Linked DNA regions of Ovis aries. The protein of the gene in region 1 purifies or fractionates together with the protein of each later gene. This does not show direct contact. Links are inferred from orthologs where the notes say so. Each region holds a gene or a part of one and is shown in the gene's direction. Other genes may lie near its edges.

Region 1 (3,500 bases):
TTTCCTATAATGAATAGTGCTGCTGTATCTTTATATACAGCTTTGTCTCATTGGTAGAGATTCCTGGGGAGGTATCAGTGTTTTGAGGCTGATAAATAAATACAACTATATTGTCTTTAGAGGATGTGTCAGTTTAGCTCCACTGGTGGAGAGTGCCAGCTTCACTAGACCATTACCCACATTTTTCTTTCTTTGCCATGTTTATTGAAATAACAATTTTTCTTGCTGACCTCTTATGTAATGGTGTTGCATACTAATTGCAATTTAATATGTAAGGCAAAGAAGACCTACCTATCATGTAAATGGTTGGTTAAAAGTTCTTAGGAAGAGGAGGATAAAAGGCTGATGGAACCAAGTACTTTGGTCTAAGGTCTAGATATGCCGTAGTTTAGAAGTGTTGGTAATTTTTTGTTCTTAAGTGCTTTATTCTTAACACTGTTTAGAATGGATAAAAATTTTAGCTTCGAATGCTGCAAAATAATGTAGGTGCTTTGCAAGGTAGTTTTAACCTTTTTGTTCCTTTATTTAATTAAAATATTTTTGTTCCTTTGTTTTAAAGTAAATTAAGCAACTTCAGTTTCACTTTACTACTAAAGATTTAAAAATACTATGAGAAGGGTAAAACCAAGTTAAATGCAAGCTGTTTCCAAGTTGTAAATGAATATTTTTGAGACTTTGATATAGATTTTTTTTGAGGTTTGTTTGAAAATGAATAGTCCTGCAGTTCAGATATGTTGTGTGAATAAAAGCAAGTTGGGGTTTATCAATTGGGATTTTTAATAGGCTTTTTATCTAGACCATTTGGGGGTCATGGACCCCTTTGAAATTTTTGTAAAAGTTGCTCAAATTTTGCTTATAATTCTCTGGGTGTTTCAGACATTGAAAGCTTGTAGGCTTTCTATTTGGAAACCTATTCTCTGTTACAGTGTAATAAAGCCAGGTTTTTGTTTTTTGTTTTTCTTTTCTTTAAGACATACCCAATCTGAGTGTCTCCCAGAAATTGTAATATAACTTTGTAGCCTTTCTGAACAGAGGCTTACAGTAGAGCATGAACTCCGGAGCTAGATTGCATGTGTGATCTTGGGCAAGTTACTTAACCTCTCTGTGCCTCAGTTTTGTCCTCTAAGATGAGGATAATAATTTTGCTTCATTCAAAGGGTTGGATTAGGTGAAGGTTTTGTCTAAGGCTAGAAGAAGGTGTGATGTTTTGAATTTGTGTAGTTATCAGCTTTATCAGAAAATACAGCACAGTCAATTATTGGCCTGATCCTTTACATTCCGGCTTTAAGTACCACCTGTATTTATGGCCATAAACAATTTGAGCTACAAAATAAAATCTCACTCAGTTGACTTAATATAAGATGTTCTTGAATTCTTTGTTTAAAAGGTTATAGTGAAATTAGCTGTATCAGCTAATCCTTTCTTGTATTTAAGACAAATTGGCAAAATTTGAATCTAATTCTTTTCTCCACAGAGTATCTTTAGAAGACCTGTATAATGGCAAGACAACCAAACTACAACTTAGCAAGAATGTACTCTGTAGTGCTTGCAGTGGGTGAGTGTGTTTCCTGGTTATGAAATAAATGTCATCTGTTGTTTGAGTCACATATTGAGTCTATATCAAATAAAAACTATTCATGATTTCAAAGTGACTACCCAACCCAGAACAGTTTCTGATACCTCTGAAAGTTGGTTAAAAGGGGGTTGAAGATGAAAGTAAAAAGCACAATTCCCATTTTTGATGACCTAGAGGGGGAAAATCTAATTTATACTTTTGCTTGCTTTAGCCAAGGTGGGAAGTCTGGAGCTGTTCAGAAGTGTAGTGCTTGTCGGGGTCGAGGTGTGCGCATCATGATCAGACAGCTGGCTCCAGGGATGGTACAGCAGATGCAGTCTGTGTGTTCTGACTGTAATGGAGAAGGTATGCATGCCAGTGTTTCTCTGCCTTTCTGTTGGGGTGGATTGGGAATGCAGAAATTGGAGAGGCTTACAGTTTTTCTTTTTCAACGTGTTTTTATATTCATCATATTGTAAAAGGTAGTTATTTTTAAAAATGCAAAAATATTATTTCCTTTTGCATAGGCCCAGTGAACACCAATAAACAGTAAATTTATATTACGTTGAGTGGAATGTTAGTCTTTTTCCAAAAAGATGGGCAAAGTTTTTTGTCCTTTTGTATTTTATTGTTATTTACTTATCCTTTATGTTTTAAAATGTAAAAGGGAGACAGCAAATTGTTTAGTTCTCATTCTGATAAGTGGAGTATTTTACTGTAAACTTTAGTTAGCTTTTGAGGATAGATCATTATAATTGAAGCTTATTTTACAGAAGTAAATATTTTAGGTTTTTGTAGGTTAATGGTTTTTGAAACTGCTACTCTTCTACCCTTTTAGCACTTTTATAGCCAGAGATAATATGTAAATAAGTGGGCATGACTGTGTTCTGGATAAACAGTATTTACAGAAACAAAGGCATGCCCAGCTTGGCCTGCAAGCCTTAGTTTGCCGGCCCAGTTCTAGAGCAGTGCTGCCCAAAAGAAGTTCTCTGTGCTGGAAAGGTTCTATGTATGTAATGGCTACTGTAGTAGCCACTAGCCACCTGGGTGTGGCTGAGGAACTGAGCTCTTAATTATTTTAAACTTAAATAACCTCAAGTGGCTAATGACTGCTATATTGGACAGTTCTAGAACACCCTTTTCCAAATTGCTTCTGAAAGTGACAAGATAATTTTGAGAAGCCACATACCATATTTCCCTCCTGAAGAGTCTTAATGCATTTTACCTTATTAAAGTTGCTGACATTTCCCACTCAAGAAGTTGGAGTTGATTGAAATCTTTTCCCATGTGCCATTACCATTTTAAGGAACTGGTGCTTTGCAGAACATACCTTGCAGAAGCAGTGTTCCTAAAGTCATTTATGTTACCTAAGCATTAAAGTGTGCCAATAATCAGCCATTATAAATTGATGGTATCTTTTTCATGATATACTATTGTATGACTTCAGTTTTATTTTATTATGCCACTGATCAAATATTTCAGAATACATGGAAGAAAAAACTGTTGGAGTCATAAAGGATGTTTAAATTTTTATTTGGGTTGTCACTCCATTGTCAAATTTAAATGAAACTAAGACAAAAAGTGAAGCATTTGTAGAAGTTCTAGTGTCTGACCACCCGTTTTGTTTGCTTGATCCTCAGGCTTTGTTTTAACTTTAGGAAGTAGTGTCAGGAGGTAAGATAATGTTATTTAAGATATTTTATACTCTGGAATAGAGTAGCTGGGTCCTTTAGGTAATCTGCAGTAAGATGTGAGTTTTGTTCCTAAGAATGTTCATGAAAAGTTCAGGTAGCAGTTTAAAGAAGTACAGGAAATTTATTTAGTGAATAAAGGCGTTATCAGGACCTGTCTTACTTAAGAGTGCAACATAGTACCCTTGCTGGAAGTTTGAATGACCTCTTTTTCCAGGAGAGGTAATTAATGAAAAGGACCGCTGTAAAAAATG
Region 2 (3,500 bases), on another chromosome or scaffold:
GCCAGGGAACCACGAGTCTTCAGTCTCTCAGAGACCACACCTGGAGTTACAAGCTTATAGTTGGGAACTTTTTTTACAGAGTTTGTCATATGTTGCTTTGTCAAACAAGACTAGGTTATTGAGCTTGTCCTGAACTTTGCCTTTAGACCACTTCTGCTTTTTGGCCTTGCCTCCAGATTTGTTCACTGGATCTTTGTCTTTCTTGGCCGACTTTCCGGCATCTTTCTTCTTGTCGTCCTTGGGCGGCATAGCGAAGCCCGGAGAGCAGCTGCAACCACTGCTGCCTCGCTAAGATGTCGGGCAAAAAGGCACCAGGGTAGTTCTGAACAGTTTTTAAAAATTAACTTTGGCTGGTGATAATTATTTTTTCATAGTTTTATTTAGTCTATTTACTTCTGGCTGTGCTGGGTCTTTGTTGCTGGGCAGGCTTTTCTCCAGTTGCTGTGAGTAGGGTCTGTTCTTCGCTGTGGTGTGTACACTTCTGTTTGTGGTGGCTTCTCTTGTTGTGGAGCCTAGACTTTTGGCAAGCAGGCTCCAGTAGTTGCGGCACGTGGGCTCAGTAGTTGTGGCACACAGGCTTAGTTTCTTTCTCTGTGGTGTGAAATCTCCCTTGAGCAGGGATCCAACCCGTATACCCTGTGTTGTCAGGAGGAATTCTTATCCACTGTACCTCTAGGGAAGTCCAAAAGCACATTGTTTTTATTTCATAATTGCTTAATTTTAATTTTATTTATTTATTCATTTATTGGCCGTGCTGAGTCTTTGTTGTGCACAGGTTTTTTTTTTTTTTTTCTCTTGTTACAGAGCATGTATTTTGGAGTGCATGAGTTCAGTTGTCTTGGTTCATGAGTTCAGTAATTGCAGTTAACAGGCTCTAGGCTGTGAGCTTTAATAGCTGCAGGACACAGGCTTGGTTGTTGCATAGCAGGTGGAATCTTCCCAAACCAGGGATTGAACCTCCGTCCCTGCACTGGCATGTGTATTCCCCACCACTGAGTCACCATGGAAGCCTCTGAACTACTTTTTTAAATGAAAAAATAATAAATAAAAAGTAGGGTATCTATGATTTTACAAGGTAGACTATATGGAAGCAAATGCAATGAAATAGTTGTCTTTTTTTTTTTTTTTTTTGTAAGTTTGGACCTTAGTTCTCCACCCTTCTCCCTAGAGTAATCCACTGTTAATATTTTCATGGATATTCTTCCATTGGTAATCTCACCAGTTACAAATGTACATGTATGTATTTTGTGAAAAAGCAAATGTAACCATATTCAACATCTACTGTACCTTCTCTTTTGCATCTTATATCTTAGGGTTCATGTCGTTGCACATAAAGATCTATTTCATTCTTTTTTATGGCTGCTTAATAGTTGACTAAATATGTATGTCTTAATTTAATATCCCTTACCTCCCCATAATGAATAGTTACATGTTTCCAAACTTTAAATTAAAATTAGTGTAGGTATGTATATATATCTTTGCAGTGTTTGACTATATGTGTGAGATACACTACTAGAAGTTTTCTCCTTGGTAGTAATAAATCCATATAACTCATTTATGAGTATAACATGATTTTCCTTCCACTCCTCAGGAAGAAACCCAAGAAAAAAGAAAATGGAACTGGATGTAGAAGGTCAATGCGATTACTAAAAGTTGATCCTTCAGGAGTCCCATTGCCAGCAGCCCCAACCCAGACCGAATTAGAAGTAGAAGAAAATGTAAGAAAGAGTGCAAATATAATATACTAAATCAATAAAATACTGAAAAATTTGAAGTGTTTGAAAATAGAGTAAAAAGTCAGTAAAGTATGTTTAATTTGTACTTCATTAATTTAATACTTGACTGTTATATGGTTTAATATGGTTGGATGGCATCACCAACTCAATGGACATGGGTTTGGGTGGACTCCGGGAGTTGGTGATGGACAGGGAGGCCTGGCGTGCTGCAGTTCATGGGGTCACAAAGAGTCGGACACGACTGAGAGACTGAACTAACTAATATGGTTTAATGAGTAAGATTTCAAACTCATGAAAGACCGGATTATATACTTCTGCAGACTTACCTATGTCGGATTGTGGGTAAATTGCTTAGCCATTCTGAGCCCCAGGTTCCCTATTTTTAAAACAGCAACAATAACAGAAACCTCTCACAAGGGGTGGTATGACGGATAAAGGTTCTTACATTATATTGAATGTATTATATTACTTAGTAAGCAATAAATGGTAATATTAATAATAATATGTGATAATAATGATGGAGGTCCTATATTGTGGTTTAATTTATGCTGTCAGTGACTGGAAAGAGTTTTATTTACCAAATTTATTGTCTGAGTAAGATTATTTTTTATTCAGGAGCATCTACTTTTTAAATACTTTATATCTAAGTGCTTAATTATAACTTGGAAGATAGTACTCATTAGCATGGTGCTTTGAGAGCTAATTGGAAATTAAGTTGCTACGGAGAGAGTAGCTCATTTTTTGAAGCCTCTATGCATCCATGATAAGAAATAACTTACATTGAATCCACTCCGTGTGCACGCATGGGTGCGCACACACACACACACACAGACACACACACACAAAACTGAAACAAACCTTTTGTGAAATGATACTTAACCCTTACTACATATGATGTACTTTTGTATTTTCTGGTCTATTCTTTTCTCATTCAATAAAGCGCACTGTTGGTTATAACATATTAAAATGATTTCATGACTTGTGGGTTATAATCCCTGATATAAAAAATGATACAGAGTAATAACTTGAGTAATGAAATTGAACTGATCTGAATCAATTCCAAGCAACTCTATGGGCAGTGTAACTTTGGACAAATTAACTTCTCTGTTTCATTCCACTGTCTTTGAAATGTGATATCTCATTCACTGGATTGTTAAGGGAATTAAATGAGATAATACATGTTTTTACTTTACAGGATACTTGGCATTCATTCACTGAACAACTGTTTTTGATTGCTAACTATATGTCACCCCTTAGTGGATATTGAAAGTAAAGAGAAACCTCAAGCTTGAATTCTAAGGCAGAGTGACAACCAAGTGTTTTTTTTCTTTTCCTATTTTTTATAACAGCCTTTGATACCTCCTGGGCCTTTAGAAATGACTCCTGAAAATCGAGATGATGACAATGAACTATTCAAAGGATTTTTGCAGACTTGGGCAGAAATGAGCAAGGTATCACTTGGGAGGGTAAATCCAAGCTTTTAAGCAAATTTCAGTACGTATGTTAATTTAGTACTTTGGTTTCTCCCGTTGTTTCAGACAAGAAGTAAAAACACTAAGAAAGAATTATCTAACATTAAAAGGTGAGTTAAAATCCCTTGCCTTTGTTTTGCATTTCCTGAGATCTTTAAATTATAAAGACTATATACTATTGGCGGAAATTTGAAAATGAGGTGAAAAGAATTATCCATCATGTTTCTACCCTAACAACTGTTGACTTTGTGTATTTCCTTTCAAATATTGCTGCATACAAAACCACTGGGAC
Region 3 (2,200 bases), on another chromosome or scaffold:
CCCCTGCCTTGGGAGTTCAGAGTCTTAACCACTGGACCCACCAGGGAAGTCCCTCCATTAGGTTTGTATCAATACAAGCATTCAGTTCAGCAAATACTTGAACACCTACTCATGCCAGAGACTGTTCTAAGTGCTGGAGGGAAAACAGTGAACCAGACGTAGAAAGCTATGCCCCTCTGGAAGCCCGCGTTCTCCCCTCTCAGAGAACTGGGATGCAGACCCCAGTAAGTGAACATGGGCTCTGTGAAGCGCCAGGGTCCAAGGAAAGAGTCCCATGGCATGTACTGCCTGGCCCAGCCTACCTGACCCCCTTGGCTGCCTCTCACTCACCCCTCTGTGCCCTTGCCCTTGCATTTCCTCCCACCTGGAATGTCCTTCCCTGCTTTTTAACGTGGTTCACGCGTGTCGTTTAAGGCCCAGCCCTGTGTGTCATCCGAACCTCTCCCTCCACCTGATGAGTATCTCCCTCTGTACTTTATTCTTTCCGTTATCATGCTGACTGTCTCCGTGTCTGTCTCCCCCAGCCACCGGGGAGGGCAGAGGTCTTGCCTCTCTGCCCCTAGGTCCCAGTTCAGGCCTTGTAAGTCCCTGATGCAGGATGTGGCTGGGAGAGAGTTTGGTTCTGGAAGAGCTGGGGGGTGGTCACCAGGGTCCAGAGTGAGCCACCACCCGTCCCCGGGTGGCCCTCCTCTTCCTCTCAGATTAACAAGATGGAGTGGTGGAGCCGCTTGGTATCCAGTGACCCCGAGATCAATACTAAGAAGATAAACCCCGAGAACTCCAAGGTGAGCCCAGGCTGCTTGGAGGAGCTGCGGTCGGGAGGTTTGGGGCCTGGGTGGCCCCAGGCCTTCACCCACCCTGTCACTGTCTGCCCCCAGCTGTCAGACCTGGACAGTGAGACCCGTAGCATGGTGGAGAAGATGATGTACGACCAGAGACAGAAGTCTATGGGGCTGCCTACCTCCGATGAGCAGAAGAAACAGGAGATTCTGAAGAAGTGAGCGATGCAGAGATGGGGGTTTGGGGGAGGTGTCTACGGCTGGGACCTGGGTGACAGTGGCAAGTGTTTACTGAGCAGAACACAGGAGCTGCCCCGCCCCTTCCAGGATGAGCCAGCCAAGTTTATGGCTTTATAGCCTTGGCTTGCCTCCCCTAATCACTTACTGAGGTCATCTTGAGGGCAAGGCCACCACAGGATAGGAAAGGGTAACAGGCGGTCACAGTTTCCAACAGAAAAAGCAGTGCCGGTGTTGGCACCTCAGCATCCAGCCTTGGGGAGACCTTGGGGGCCCCACTCCTGTCTGGCATGGCTCCGGGTTGCTGAGAGCTGTAAACAGATGAGACCTCATGTTGGAGGCTGAGAGAAAGGGACAAATTTAGGGAGACGGATGGCCTGTCTCACCTTCCTGCTTTGTCTCTGCAGGTTCATGGATCAGCATCCAGAGATGGACTTTTCCAAGGCCAGATTCAACTAGCCCCTGTGTTTGCTCCCCTGAACTCTCTAGGCTGAGCTCCCGGCTCCCCACTTTCCTCTCCCACCCTCCCTGGGACTGGTGGGCCACAGGGCCAGGGCAGGCACGGGGCTGGCTGGCACACACAGGTCCCAGGCCATCATGGGAGAAGGGCTGGGGCCTTGGGGGGGGGTCTTGTCCTCCTCAGCTGGCCTGCTGTTACACATTAAAACCATTTACCCAATTCCACTCACGTCTTCTCTTCCCTCTGGCCTTTCTCTGGGGTTCAGGCCTCTTAGGACTGCTGCTGTGACCTGGGGGCTTGACTGCTCACCCAGGCTCTGCTGTGTGATCTAGGGCAAGTCTTTGCCTCTCCCTGGGCTCAGTTTCTCATTACTTAAATAGAGGATCCCGACAAGGCTTTTAGTCTGTGTATGATTTTGAACAAAAGGGGTTGGTTATAGGCACCAAACAATGTCAGATTCTCCAAGGGGCCCATGACTCAGCAGCACTTAAGACCAGCCTGACTTGATTTCCATTTTCATCTCTGAGACAATTTCCCACTGCACTGGGTCTGTCCTTTAGTCCTGGAGCAAGTGTTTCTAAAACTATACACTACTTCCCAGAGGCAGAGAGCAAGCAGCAAAGCCTAGGGGCACCGCCTAGGCCTCAGATGGGCTTTGTGTGTGGTGGGGATCTGGCTGGGAAGGCAGGGGGAAGCCCAAAGGAGCCTGTTGTGTGTCTTTGAC
Region 4 (4,151 bases), on another chromosome or scaffold:
GTCCAGTGCCCTCTCCTTGGCCTTGTGAGAAAGGTCAAAAGAGCACAGGGACCATACCCAGGTTAGACTGAGCTCCCCCAGTGGGAGGACCTGCCCTTGGCAATCTCCCCCAGTGGGAGGACCTGCCCTTGGCAATCCCCCCCACCCCGCCCCTCACCCCACCCCAGACTCTCAAGGGAGGCCCCAAGAGCCAGAGACTCCCAGGCTTCCTACTTGGAAGCTCCCCCAGGACTTTGGACATGTACAGAATAAGCTGAATGAATTCAGGTCTCACTCCAAGGGTCAGAATGTTAGTCTGCTTTTGTTTTTTCATCTGTTTTGTTCTTTTGAATCAATGCTGTTGATGACAAGTTGTCTTTAATAAATCGTGTTCTTTGCAGTAGGTGTTGGTTCTGTGATGGGCTGAAACCATTGAGACCTCAGAACAGGAAAAAAAAAAATGAGCAGAAAGTCAGGAGGTTCTTAGAGTGATTAAAGGAAAAGGCTAGGAATTTGTCCAAAAGAGCCTGTTCAACTCTTCTTAAGCACCTGCAGTTTACAGCTGATGGGAGGAGAGTATGCAATGGGGCAGAGGTATTACATTGTGATTTCATAGTAAGTTCTTTGAAAAAAGTTGAACTTCAACAAGTCATTTATAGTCCACTGTCTGCAGAAAATCACTTGTAACGTGTTGGTGTTTTCTTTGCAGATGTAATTTTTATTAGATACTTGATAACATTGATAGTCATTTTCTTGATTCAGAGTTTTGTGTATTGTCTCCACCCCCCCACCCACCCACCACCACCACCATTACCTTAGCTGGTGAGCAAGCTACTGTATGATTTTAAAATATTTTTATGACATATTCTATCTGATGTGCTAAAAATGTCCAAAACCAGTCCCTGTTTCTGAGTATCTTATTCCCCGGCCTCTATCATAAGGAATACGGTAGGGGATGCTTGCATTCCTGATTTGTTTTCCCAGTTCATTCGTGTAAATTAGGAGCTAAGAACTTTTTTTTTTTTTTTTCCGGGATCTTTGCGGAGTAGGAGGGAACCTCCGTGGAGACCGAGGGGGCCGGAGTGGGGCGGAGCCGGTTCCGAGACGGCCAATCATGAGCCGTGGTGGTGATGCCACGCCCCTCCCCTCTACTCCGCGTCCTAAAGGGGCAAAGAAGTCCGGTCCTCAATTAGGTGGGCACCGACCCGCAACTGTGGACTGGACACTACCTCGGAGCGTTCGTGAGTGGAGGGGCGCACTTTCCGCCATCTCACGCCTCCGCTCCGCTCCATCCCCGTGGTAGGCCCCCGCAGGCCTGTGCGGCCCCTTTAAGAGCCTTCAGGTCGGACGCCGGAGGTCGCGGCGTCCCTTCAGCGTCGCGGGCCCCGGCCACCATCCGCGACCATGCAGTTGCTTCGCGCAGGCTTGACTGTGGCCCTGGGCGCAGGGCTGGGTGCAGCTGCCGAGGGCTGGCGGCGGCAGTGGGCCGACGCGCGGGCGACGCCGGGGCTGTTGAGCCGGCTGCCGGTGCTGCCAGTGGCGGCGGCGGCGGGGCTTCCCGCGGTGCCCGGGGCTCCCGCGGGTGGCGGCCCGGGCGAGTTGGCCAAGTATGGGCTGCCCGGGGTGGCGCAGCTCAAGAGCCGCGCGTCGTACGTGCTGTGTTACGACCCGCGCACCCGCGGCGCGCTCTGGGTGGTCGAGCAGCTGCGGCCCGAGGGGCTCCGCGGCGACGGCGACCGCAGCTCCTGCGACTTCCACGAGGACGACTCGGTGCATGCGTACCACCGCGCCACCAACGCCGACTACCGCGGCAGCGGCTTCGACCGCGGCCACCTTGCTGCCGCGGCCAACCACCGCTGGAGCCAGAAAGCAATGGACGACACCTTCTACCTGAGCAACGTCGCGCCCCAGGTAGCGCCTACGCCGCCCCCCGCCCCCACCCCCCACCCCGGCGGCGAAACCCGAGGCCAGTGCTCGCCTCTAAGCCTTGATTTTCCTCTTTGCAGAATGGGAGAGTGCTGAGTTGTGCGCCCTCTAGGTCAGGCGCCTGGCCACACGCACCGCGCGCCGCCTGCGGGAGGGATGGAGCAGTGGGGCGCTGAGCACCCATTGCGCTCTGATCTTAACCCGAGGGCCCTGGGCGCCTCCCTGAAATCAGGATGAAACTGTTATTCACCTGCCTCTTGCAGTAGAGCCGAGGAACTGAAGATAACGGTCTACATACATAAAAGTACCGGGCACGCTTCCTGGTTCTTGGCAAGCGTTTAGTAAATAAGAGCTATAATGAGGAAAGTCTCAGCGAGACAAAGTGACCGACCCAGGGTCACACCGTGGGAGGAGACCTAGGCAGTCTGTCTAGGGGACCCTGAGCTTTTTTTAATCCATCGCCCTACCCTGCCTGCCCTCCAGGAGTAAAAGGATAAATAGGTGCCCGCAGTGGCTGTTAGGAGCAGTCACTGTGCACCCTGGACTAGCCGACCTTCCTCTAGCCCTGTTCCCACCAGGGCCTGACACCCATGTGGAGATGAATGGTGGGGCTCTGAGTGAGACTTGTGAGGTCCCAGCTTCTGAGCTGACGTGCTCACCCAGGAGCAGAGACCCCCACCCATTTGACTGGACACTGTGCCGAGGACCTGAGAGCTCAGGTGGTGGAGTCAGATTTCTGACCTTCCCTGCTGGGCTCTGCAGTTCAGACTTTGGAGAAGGAAGGGAGAGATGATTGAAAGAGCTGGTCTTCCCATGAGCTCCTGGGGCAGGAGCAAGCCTCTTTCTCTCTGGGAGATTTGCCCTTTCATCCTGCTCTTTGGGGCTGAGAAACAGCTTGGAGACTTGGGATGCTAGATCTCCCAATCTGGGTTGGGGGCAGCTAGCACCTCTGTGAGCTCTGTTTGGGCCAAGTGACTCTCCTTCCATGAACCTCCCTTTCCTCTGTATGCTTGTCCCCATCCCCACTCCGCTGCTGGAACCTTCTGGCTCTGTGCTAGTGCCTGCCCCTAAGCCTGCGGCAGCCCTCTGACTACAAGTGTCCCAGCCAGTCTCACTGAAGCCCACCTCTCCTGCCAGGTGCCCCACCTCAACCAGAATGCCTGGAACAACTTGGAAAAGTACAGCCGCAGTCTGACCCGCACCTACCAAAATGTCTATGTCTGCACGGGGCCACTCTTCCTACCCAGGTAAGGCTAGAGCTGGGGGGCCTGGGGACAGCGGCACCTCCCGGTCAGCCCAACCAGGCTCCCCCCAGGCTCTGTGTCAACACCGCTAGGTCCCCATTCATCTGGTTCCTGGGAAAGTCTGCCCATCCCCTACCTTGAGCTCCCCAATTCTACTCTACAGAGACTTTGGGGGTACCCACATCTCTGCCTGTGTGTACCAGGCCCTGAATCTGCCCTTGTTCCTCTATGTTCTCTCTTGTCACATCCACCTAACTCATGTTCTGCCCAGATAGCAACCCTTGCACGGGGTTCTCACCTTCAGTCTCCTCTGCTGGGGGCATCCCTTCTTGAAGCCAGCTTTGAACTGTGAGCCAGCTTTGAACTGTGTCTTCCTAACCAAGCCTTCACTCTTGCCCTTGTGCGGCTTGCCCGGCCTCCCAGATGTAAGGGACTGAGCTCCCCTGGGCTTGCTGGGTGATTTTTCTGCTGAGGACTGGGATGAGTGGGGCAGGGGACTGTGGCCAAGCAGCTGGCTCTGCTGGGGTCGGAACCCAGGCCCTGTCACCTAGTCTCTGGGTTTGCTGTTGTTTAGTCGCTCAGTTGTGTCCGACCCTTGTGATCTAATGGATAGAGGAGCCTGGTGGGCTACTTACTGTAGGAGGTACTTGATGTAGCCCGCCAGGCTCCTCTGTCCATGGGATTTCCCAAGCAAGAATACTGGGAAATTGCCATTCCCTTCTCCAAGGGATCTTCCCGACCAAGGGATCTAACCCGCATTCTTTTGCATTGCAAGGCGAATTCTTTACCACTGAGCCACCAGCGAAGCCTCAGTCTCTGGGTGCCCTGGGCAAATAACCTCAACATCCTCTCCTTAAAATGGGGATAATACCCGTTATCTACCACATGGTTGCTTAAGGGACAGTGGGATAGTGGATGTCACCGTAGTAAGGACTCAGCACAGGCTTGCCGAGGCACTGATACACTTTAATTAGCCAGTGCCTCCTCTGGCCTGCTGAAATG
Region 5 (3,500 bases), on another chromosome or scaffold:
TCTGGCTTCTGACTTCCCTGATCTCCTTGGCTTGGCCTCCCCCCAGGTTTGTGAATGGGGCAGGTTACTTTGCTGCTGTGGCAGATGCCATCCTGCGAGCTCAAGAAGAGATTTTCATCACAGACTGGTGGTAAGTGGGAGAAGAACCTGAGCAAGAAAGTGTGGGTTAGTACCTGCAACAGATCAGCTTATGGGTCAGAAAAGGAGTGGAAGGGGAGGAGTGGCTGTTGTTGGGAGCTTAGCTTACCCTCACCTGCTGCCCTGAATCCCAGGTTGAGTCCTGAGATTTACCTGAAGCGTCCAGCCCATTCAGATGACTGGAGACTGGACGTTATGCTCAAGAAGAAGGCGGTGAGGAGAATGGTCTGGCTGGAGGGGAGGTATGGTCAAGGGGTGGCTTGTGGGTGGAGATTGGTTGGAAGAGACTATAGCATGGCGGGGGGTAGGGGGGGAAGGTAAGGAATCTAAAACTTGAGGTGGAGGAAATGTACCCATCCTGGTTCAGTCTCACAGAAATCACCTCTTCCACTTCCCTGGGGAGAACTCCCTTAGAGAAGAAGACCAACCTCCCTGTTCTTGCCCTTCCTCTCCTTGATGTAGACTTTCCTCCCAATACCCTATACACTCAATTCTGTTATGGGGGATGGACATATCTGTCTCTCTCATTGGGTGGATGAATACCACTAGCTGCAGTACAAGGCACAGTGTCTGCTATGTTGGGAGCATCCAGAGATGGTGATGGATGGGAGGAAAGATATGCGGATGATGGAGAGTGTGTGGGTGAGGGGATGGATAGATGATGGAAAGGGAGATAGAAGGCTATGAGGTTGGGAAGGTAGATCCAAGGAGAGTGGTAAATAGATAGATGAGTGACAGATGGTAGATAAGGGATGAGTAAATTGTTGGGAAGATGGATGGCTAGATAATGCTAGGTAGGTGGGTAGATGTGTGGATGGATGAGTGAGTGAGCAGATAGATGATATTCAATCTAAGTTTGCTGTAAGCATCAAAACAGGGTGTCAGTGGCATAGCATTGAGGATCTCTGGGTGGAGAGGAGGAACATCCAGGAACCCTGAGGGTGGGAAAGGGTCATTAGGATCTGATTCCCTCACTGACCACCAGGAGGAGGGTGTCCGAGTGTCTGTACTGCTGTTCAAGGAAGTGGAGTTGGCCTTGGCCATCAACAGTGGCTACAGCAAGAGGGTACTGATGCTGCTGCACCCCAACATAAAGGTGACTCAGGCCCCAGAGACCCCTCCCTTCTGGCCCTCCTCACTACACATCCCCCCACCCCCCCCCCCCCAGCCACCAACCCTCCTTGTCCTTGAACGTCTCATCTTTCCATCTTCCTGTTCCCTGCCTCCTCCAAACGCTGCCTCTGGCTTCTCCCACCTACGCCCACACTCATGAACTCCCCCATACCTGCTCCAGGTGATGCGCCACCCAGACCAGGTGACACTGTGGGCCCATCATGAGAAGCTCCTGGTGGTAGACCAAGTAGTGGCCTTCCTGGGTGGGCTGGACCTCGCCTACGGCCGCTGGGATGACCTACACTACAGACTGACTGATCTGGGGGATTCCTCTGAGTCAGCTGCCCCCCAGGTAATCCCCCAAGGCCTTCCGGAGCACACCCCCCCAACTCAACTAATGTAAATCCATACCCCTTCCCAGCTGCAGCCTTCCTCTCCAGTCATAGCCCTCATTCAAAGTTCCTGTGCCTTTCTGGGACCCCAACAACCTGCTTTGAATATACTGACTCAGTTGCCTCCCCATGACCTCTACCCATTTCTCTAGGGATTTCAAATGCATCTGAAGGGGAGGGCCAGGGAATCAAACTCTCTCTGTTTCATTCTTCCTCTGTGTGTCTCTCTGTCTTCCCGTCTTCCAGTGCTCCTTTCTTCTCTTTGGCCTGGCTCTGTGTGACCCATGACCTCTCCTTGCCCCTGGCTTGGGTGTGTTCCCCCTACAGCCTCCCACCTCACGCTCAGACCTTCCAGCTACCCCCGACCTCACTCACAACCAACTCTTCTGGCTGGGCAAGGACTACAGCAATCTGATCACTAAAGATTGGGTGCAGCTGGATCGGCCTTTTGATGGTAGGGGGTCCACCTTCTTCAAAGTCCCTAAGAGCTGGGAGCCGGGGCAGAGGGCGGGCCTGGGTCTGAGGATGGGATGAACCGGGTCTTAATGCCACCTCTTCTCCGGTCAGCACCTCCTCCTCCCTGACCCACGTGTTCCCAAGGGACCGTCCCTGACCTCTTCCCTGACTCTCCTGGGACATTCTCCCTCCCCCCAGATTTCATTGACAGGGAGACTATGCCACGGATGCCATGGCGGGACATTGGGGTGGCGGTCCACGGCTCACCCGCCCGGGACCTTGCCCGGCACTTCATCCAGCGCTGGAATTTCACCAAGGTGCCTGATCCCTCCGAGCCTGGAGGGTGGGCGGGAGCCAGGGGCAGCTAGCCATCTCCCGCTGATTCTGCCACCCCTCCGCCTTAGACTACCAAGGCCAAGTACAAGATACCCATGTACCCCTACCTGCTGCCCAAATCCACCAGCACCGCAAACCAGCTCCCTTTCACGCTTTCCGGAGGGCAGTGCGCCACTGTGCAGGTGAGGCTCGGAATTCAGCCGGCCCTCTCCCCGCTCCCTTCAGCGCAACCTCGCTTCAGCACTCTCCCTGACGGAGAGCGCCCTCCCGCCCCCGCCCCCGAACCCCTTCCTCTCCTGGACTCAGGAGGCACATCCTATCCGTCGTTCCCGCAGGTCTTGCGGTCAGTGGACCGCTGGTCAGCGGGCACCCTGGAGAACTCCATTCTCAATGCTTATCTGCACACCATCAGAGAGAGCCGGCACTTCCTCTACATTGAGGTCTGTCGGAGTGAGGGTGGAGCAGAGAAACTTAGGATATCCTGTCAGTGGGCTCAGTCGTTTAGGGCTGGCATAGCTGGACCTGGAGAACTTGGTGAAGCCTGGACCCAGGGCCGGGAGCCTGGGGAGGGGGATGGCGACATGGAGCTGAGGGCAGGAACTGCTGACGGCGGCCGGACTGCTGACGTCTGTCATTCGTCCCTGCTCCAGAATCAGTTCTTCATTAGCTGCTCAGATGGGCGGACGGTGCTGAACAAGGTGGGCGATGAGATTGTGGACAGAATCCTGAAGGCCCACAAGTAAGGCGGACCAGCTTGGAACCTGGGGGTTATGGGCGTGTTTTAAGACTAACCAGAGGGATGAGGGGAGGGGTGGGGCTTGGGAGACGGGTCACACCGCTGACTCCGCCCCTCTCCAGACAGGGGCAGTGCTTCCGAGTCTACGTGCTTTTGCCCCTCCTCCCTGGATTCGAGGGTGACATCTCCACAGGTGGTGGTAACTCCATCCAGGCCATTCTGCACTTCACTTACAGGTGACCACCGCCTCGCCCTTCCCACCCTAACCCCTGCCAGACTCTGCCCCTCCATGGCCCCATCCTGATCCCTTCTTGCTGGACTGTTTTCTG
Region 6 (3,500 bases), on another chromosome or scaffold:
GCAGAGCCTACCCTGTGGGGCAGCTGGGGTTCGCATCTGTACCCGCGCATCCTCCCTTGCGAGCCCCATTCTGTTTGTTGTCGTGGACCCAAGTGTCAAGTGGGATGGGTCTTGGCTGGGAAGGCCTGTGGTGGGGCCAGGGCTCAGGCCCTTCCTCACCCTCTGGAAGTTGGTCATCCATCTCGCAGCTGAGGACACTGAGGTCGGGGGGCCGGGCATGCAGCAGGGACAGAGTTGGAGACTGCCTTGGGTGGGCCTCGGGTGGGGGCTGTGCCTTGCAAACACCCCCACCTCCCTGCAGACCGTGGAGCATGGCTTCCCCAACCAGCCCAGTGCGCTGGCCTTTGACCCTGAGCTTCGTATCATGGCCATCGGCACCCGGTCTGGGGCCGTCAAGATGTATCCTTTGGGATTGTGGCTAATGTGCGGGGCGCTGGGCTGGGCCCCTGGTGGAGGTCGTGCAGCTGCTGCCCTGAGGCGGCGCCTCAGAGATGAAGGGGTCCACAGCTGCCCATCGCTGCAGCCAGTTACCTCGGCAACCCTCCCGTTGTCCCAGCAGCTGTGACTGGGGAGGTGGGCCGGGGCTGGCAGCACACGGTCCCCAGCAAGGGTGGCGGGAGGACCAGAGTCACAGCAGGCCTTACCCTTGAAACCGGGTGCACACGTGTGCCGGCCTGAAGACACGTATGTCCAGCCGAGGGCTGGGGGCAGTGCCAGGCTCGGCGTGGCGAGCGCAGCGCAGCCCCCACCTGGATGCTGGCCCCGCACAATGGGCCTGTGAGCCGCACAAAGGGCCATTTTCCTGAGAGCTCCAAGGGGAGGGGCGGGGCGGGGGAGGTTGGCAGCTGGATGCCTCCTTCCTGCTGTGGAGCAGCCCACCCCCACTGCAAGAGGTGAGTCCCCCAGGTGGGGCCCAGGTGCAGGGTCTGGCTGGCCACCACAGGGTAGGATGGGATCTCCCCATCCGGGACTCGGGGCACCGGTCGGGCAGTTGTGAGTTTGCCAGCTCCAGGGACCAAGTGGAGGGGCTGGGTCTAGGTGCCCCCTCCTCTTCCGTGGACACCGAGGCATCAGTGGGACAGGGAGGAGACGGTCCCCTGGTCGTCTGCACCAGGCTGCTGCCTGCCCAGGAGGCCCCTCCCTGCCTGCTGCTCCTGCCTCCAGCTGCTGCCTGCCTGTGGGAGCCGTGGTCCCATGGCCCCTTCTCCCTGGCACAGTGTGTCTCTGCAGGTGGTGGGGTCTTTCTAGTGCACCAGCCCCTCATGCTGACAAAGGATGGGCAGCCAGACGGCCTCAGAGGAGGACAAGCCCCCCGACCCCAGACCGCTCCTGCCCATGCCCTGGGTTAGGAAACTGGGGCTGCCCGCAGGGGCCATTCCACCCCCCAGTCTGGCCCATCTCCCTGGCGACCTGGTTCCCGCCCAGCACTCCTGCCCCTCTTTTGTCCCGTTGTCTGTGTTCTCCCGGCTCCAGCTCCAAGCAACGGCTCCTGCCTTGTCTCCCAGCAACGTTGCTGACCCCAGCCTAGTCCTCCCCCTTGGGGCCCCTCGGCCCGCCGTCCACAGTGAAGCCTGAGGTTGCTGGGACGCTGGCTCTCACACCGGGCACTTGTAGTCAGGCATCCACCTCTCCAAGTCCCTGGGGCCTCTCCCAACTCAGTGGGGGCTGCCAGCCCCACGAGGACATGAATTTCCTGGCCTGCAGCTGGCAGCGGCCTGTGGTTGTGGAGAGGCAGCCTGGACTCTGCTCTGTCCCCGGCTTCCTGGGCCTGGCATCTCTGCCCATGATGCCAATGTGCCAGGCCACCTCTTGCGCCCACAGACCCGTGAGGCTGACACAGGGCCATGAGCTGGGCCCAGGCCAGGTGTGCCGGGAGAACTTGCGTTCTTAGGTGTCCTGTGTCTGCCCCAGGAGGCAGGCGAGCAAGTCACTGGCCGGTTTTACAGATGAGGAAGGGAAAGCCATACGCAGCACTGACTTGCAGGACTGAATGGGTCTGCATCCTGAGTGCAGTGCTTCTTCCAGAGAGGAGCCCCCAAACCTGGGAGGGCCCCTGGACAGGGCTAGGTGACACCCCTCCCCGTGTCACCGGGGGCCTGATGCAGTGGTCCTGAGGAGGCGGGGCTAGGTGATCCCTGGTGTTGGTGTCCTGGCCTGTGCCTGCTTTCCACCCTTGACCCGTCACCCTCAGCTACGGTGCCCCTGGCGTGGAGTTCACGGGCCTGCACCGAGATGCGGCCACTGTCACCCAGATGCATTTCCTGCCTGGTCAGGTGAGCCTCGGCCCCGCTACCGGCCCCCAGAAACCCCCTGCCCCGTCCCCGACCCCAGTCAGCTTAGTCCTGGTCTTACTCACCCGCCAGGGTCGAGTCCTGACCCTGCTGGATGACGACAGCCTCCACCTGTGGGAGATTGTCCACCATGACGGCTGCGCCCACCTGGAAGAAGCCCTCCACTTCCAGGCACCCAGTTGGCCTGGCTTTGACGGCGCCAGGTACCAAGGGGCTTGGCCAGCTGTGGCTGCCAGATGTAGTGAGGGGCCTGTGAAGGTGCAGTGGGGACAGGAAGCTGCCCCAGGGCTGGGACTCGGGGTGGGGTGGTGCACGTCGGCCTGGGCCTGGGTCCAGAGAGCTGCTCGGTGGACTTTGTGGGCGTCCCAGGTGAGCCCATGGTCAGCAGGGAGGGTCTGTGCCCTGGCACTGCCGGGGCCCAGGAGGCCCTGGGTTGGGGAGGGTGTGTCCCAGAGCCTGGGGAGTGGCCCTGTGCCCCTGCAGTGAGGGGGGCATCTGGGGCAGGAACTGACCATAGCACCGGTCCTCTGAACCCTTAAACAGGGGCAGGACAATGGGCCCTACTGTGCAAGGAGGAGAGGGCAGGTCATAACAAGAAGGGTTTCCCTTGGTTGTGAAGTGCTGGCGGGACGCCCCGGGGGGCAACAGCATGGGCGTCAACGCTCAGGGGGAGAGGAAGGGGCCTTGTGGTTCCTGGCCCGCAAGCCCTTGTTGGAATGGCTGCAGCAAGTCTGACCAGGACACAAGATGCCCATCCAGCTCAGAAATAGGCTTGTCCTGCTTGGGCTTGGACCCAGTGTGGATCGGGGTGTTCCAGCTCTTGCAGGGGAGTGATCGGAGGCCCCCTCCAGGGTTAGGGAGATGTCTGAAGACATGGGGCTTCCTGGTGGGGCTTGGAGGCAGAGTCCTGGAGCTTGTGGTCCCTGCCTAGGCAGGAGCTGGTTCCTGCCGCCATCCCCTCTGGGTCGGGGGAAGAGCTCCAGGGCCTGTCTCCAAGACCTGGGGACCTATTTTTATCCCTCTCCCTGCCGACGTCCTGGTGAATAATTGAGTGAGCTGGCTATGGTGTCTGCAGCCACCACCGTGGCCTTCCTGGGCGCCAGCCCCCTGCATGACCAGGGCCCAGCAAGTCCAGAGGGGCTGTATTGAGCTGACAGTCACGGGCCCCCGTGCCCTCCCCAGCAAGTGTGCAGGCTCCCACCCTCACCT

What was found.
Region 2: the proteins of DNAJA2 (region 1) and WDR76 purify together in Homo sapiens (affinity purification with mass spectrometry; 3 studies listed by BioGRID and IntAct, with this or other methods). This does not show direct contact. The link is inferred for Ovis aries from reciprocal best matches to the Homo sapiens genes DNAJA2 and WDR76.
Region 3: the proteins of DNAJA2 (region 1) and NUDC purify together in Homo sapiens (affinity purification with mass spectrometry; 4 studies listed by BioGRID and IntAct, with this or other methods). This does not show direct contact. The link is inferred for Ovis aries from reciprocal best matches to the Homo sapiens genes DNAJA2 and NUDC.
Region 4: the proteins of DNAJA2 (region 1) and ENDOG purify together in Homo sapiens (affinity purification with mass spectrometry; 3 studies listed by BioGRID and IntAct, with this or other methods). This does not show direct contact. The link is inferred for Ovis aries from reciprocal best matches to the Homo sapiens genes DNAJA2 and ENDOG.
Region 5: the proteins of DNAJA2 (region 1) and PLD2 purify together in Homo sapiens (affinity purification with mass spectrometry; 3 studies listed by BioGRID and IntAct, with this or other methods). This does not show direct contact. The link is inferred for Ovis aries from reciprocal best matches to the Homo sapiens genes DNAJA2 and PLD2.
Region 6: the proteins of DNAJA2 (region 1) and LLGL1 purify together in Homo sapiens (co-immunoprecipitation; 3 studies listed by BioGRID and IntAct, with this or other methods). This does not show direct contact. The link is inferred for Ovis aries from reciprocal best matches to the Homo sapiens genes DNAJA2 and LLGL1.

Annotation. Positions count from the first base shown.
Region 1 is NC_056067.1:14,928,216-14,931,715, reverse strand, and holds part of DNAJA2 (dnaJ homolog subfamily A member 2), read left to right. Parts: intron 1-1,474; coding exon 1,475-1,555; intron 1,556-1,787; coding exon 1,788-1,921; intron 1,922-3,463; coding exon 3,464-3,500. UniProt on the Homo sapiens protein: Co-chaperone of Hsc70. Stimulates ATP hydrolysis and the folding of unfolded proteins mediated by HSPA1A/B (in vitro).
Region 2 is NC_056071.1:53,288,717-53,292,216, forward strand, and holds part of WDR76 (WD repeat-containing protein 76), read left to right. Parts: exon of another isoform or gene 1-279; intron 280-1,591; coding exon 1,592-1,718; intron 1,719-3,085; coding exon 3,086-3,187; intron 3,188-3,274; coding exon 3,275-3,318; intron 3,319-3,500. UniProt on the Homo sapiens protein: Specifically binds 5-hydroxymethylcytosine (5hmC), suggesting that it acts as a specific reader of 5hmC.
Region 3 is NC_056055.1:240,000,959-240,003,158, reverse strand, and holds the end of NUDC (nuclear migration protein nudC), read left to right. Parts: intron 1-701; coding exon 702-785; intron 786-878; coding exon 879-997; intron 998-1,423; coding exon 1,424-1,475; 3' UTR 1,476-1,700; downstream 1,701-2,200. UniProt on the Homo sapiens protein: Plays a role in neurogenesis and neuronal migration. Necessary for correct formation of mitotic spindles and chromosome separation during mitosis. Necessary for cytokinesis and cell proliferation.
Region 4 is NC_056056.1:7,612,685-7,616,835, reverse strand, and holds the start of ENDOG (endonuclease G, mitochondrial), read left to right. Parts: upstream 1-1,351; 5' UTR 1,352-1,383; coding exon 1,384-1,890; intron 1,891-3,042; coding exon 3,043-3,152; intron 3,153-4,151. UniProt on the Homo sapiens protein: Endonuclease that preferentially catalyzes the cleavage of double-stranded 5-hydroxymethylcytosine (5hmC)-modified DNA.
Region 5 is NC_056064.1:26,424,029-26,427,528, reverse strand, and holds part of PLD2 (phospholipase D2), read left to right. Parts: intron 1-46; coding exon 47-130; intron 131-272; coding exon 273-351; intron 352-1,123; coding exon 1,124-1,234; intron 1,235-1,432; coding exon 1,433-1,603; intron 1,604-1,970; coding exon 1,971-2,097; intron 2,098-2,297; coding exon 2,298-2,416; intron 2,417-2,503; coding exon 2,504-2,617; intron 2,618-2,770; coding exon 2,771-2,875; intron 2,876-3,085; coding exon 3,086-3,174; intron 3,175-3,293; coding exon 3,294-3,407; intron 3,408-3,500.
Region 6 is NC_056064.1:34,155,518-34,159,017, reverse strand, and holds part of LLGL1 (lethal(2) giant larvae protein homolog 1), read left to right. Parts: intron 1-301; coding exon 302-399; intron 400-2,191; coding exon 2,192-2,273; intron 2,274-2,363; coding exon 2,364-2,494; intron 2,495-3,500. UniProt on the Homo sapiens protein: Cortical cytoskeleton protein found in a complex involved in maintaining cell polarity and epithelial integrity. Involved in the regulation of mitotic spindle orientation, proliferation, differentiation and tissue organization of neuroepithelial cells.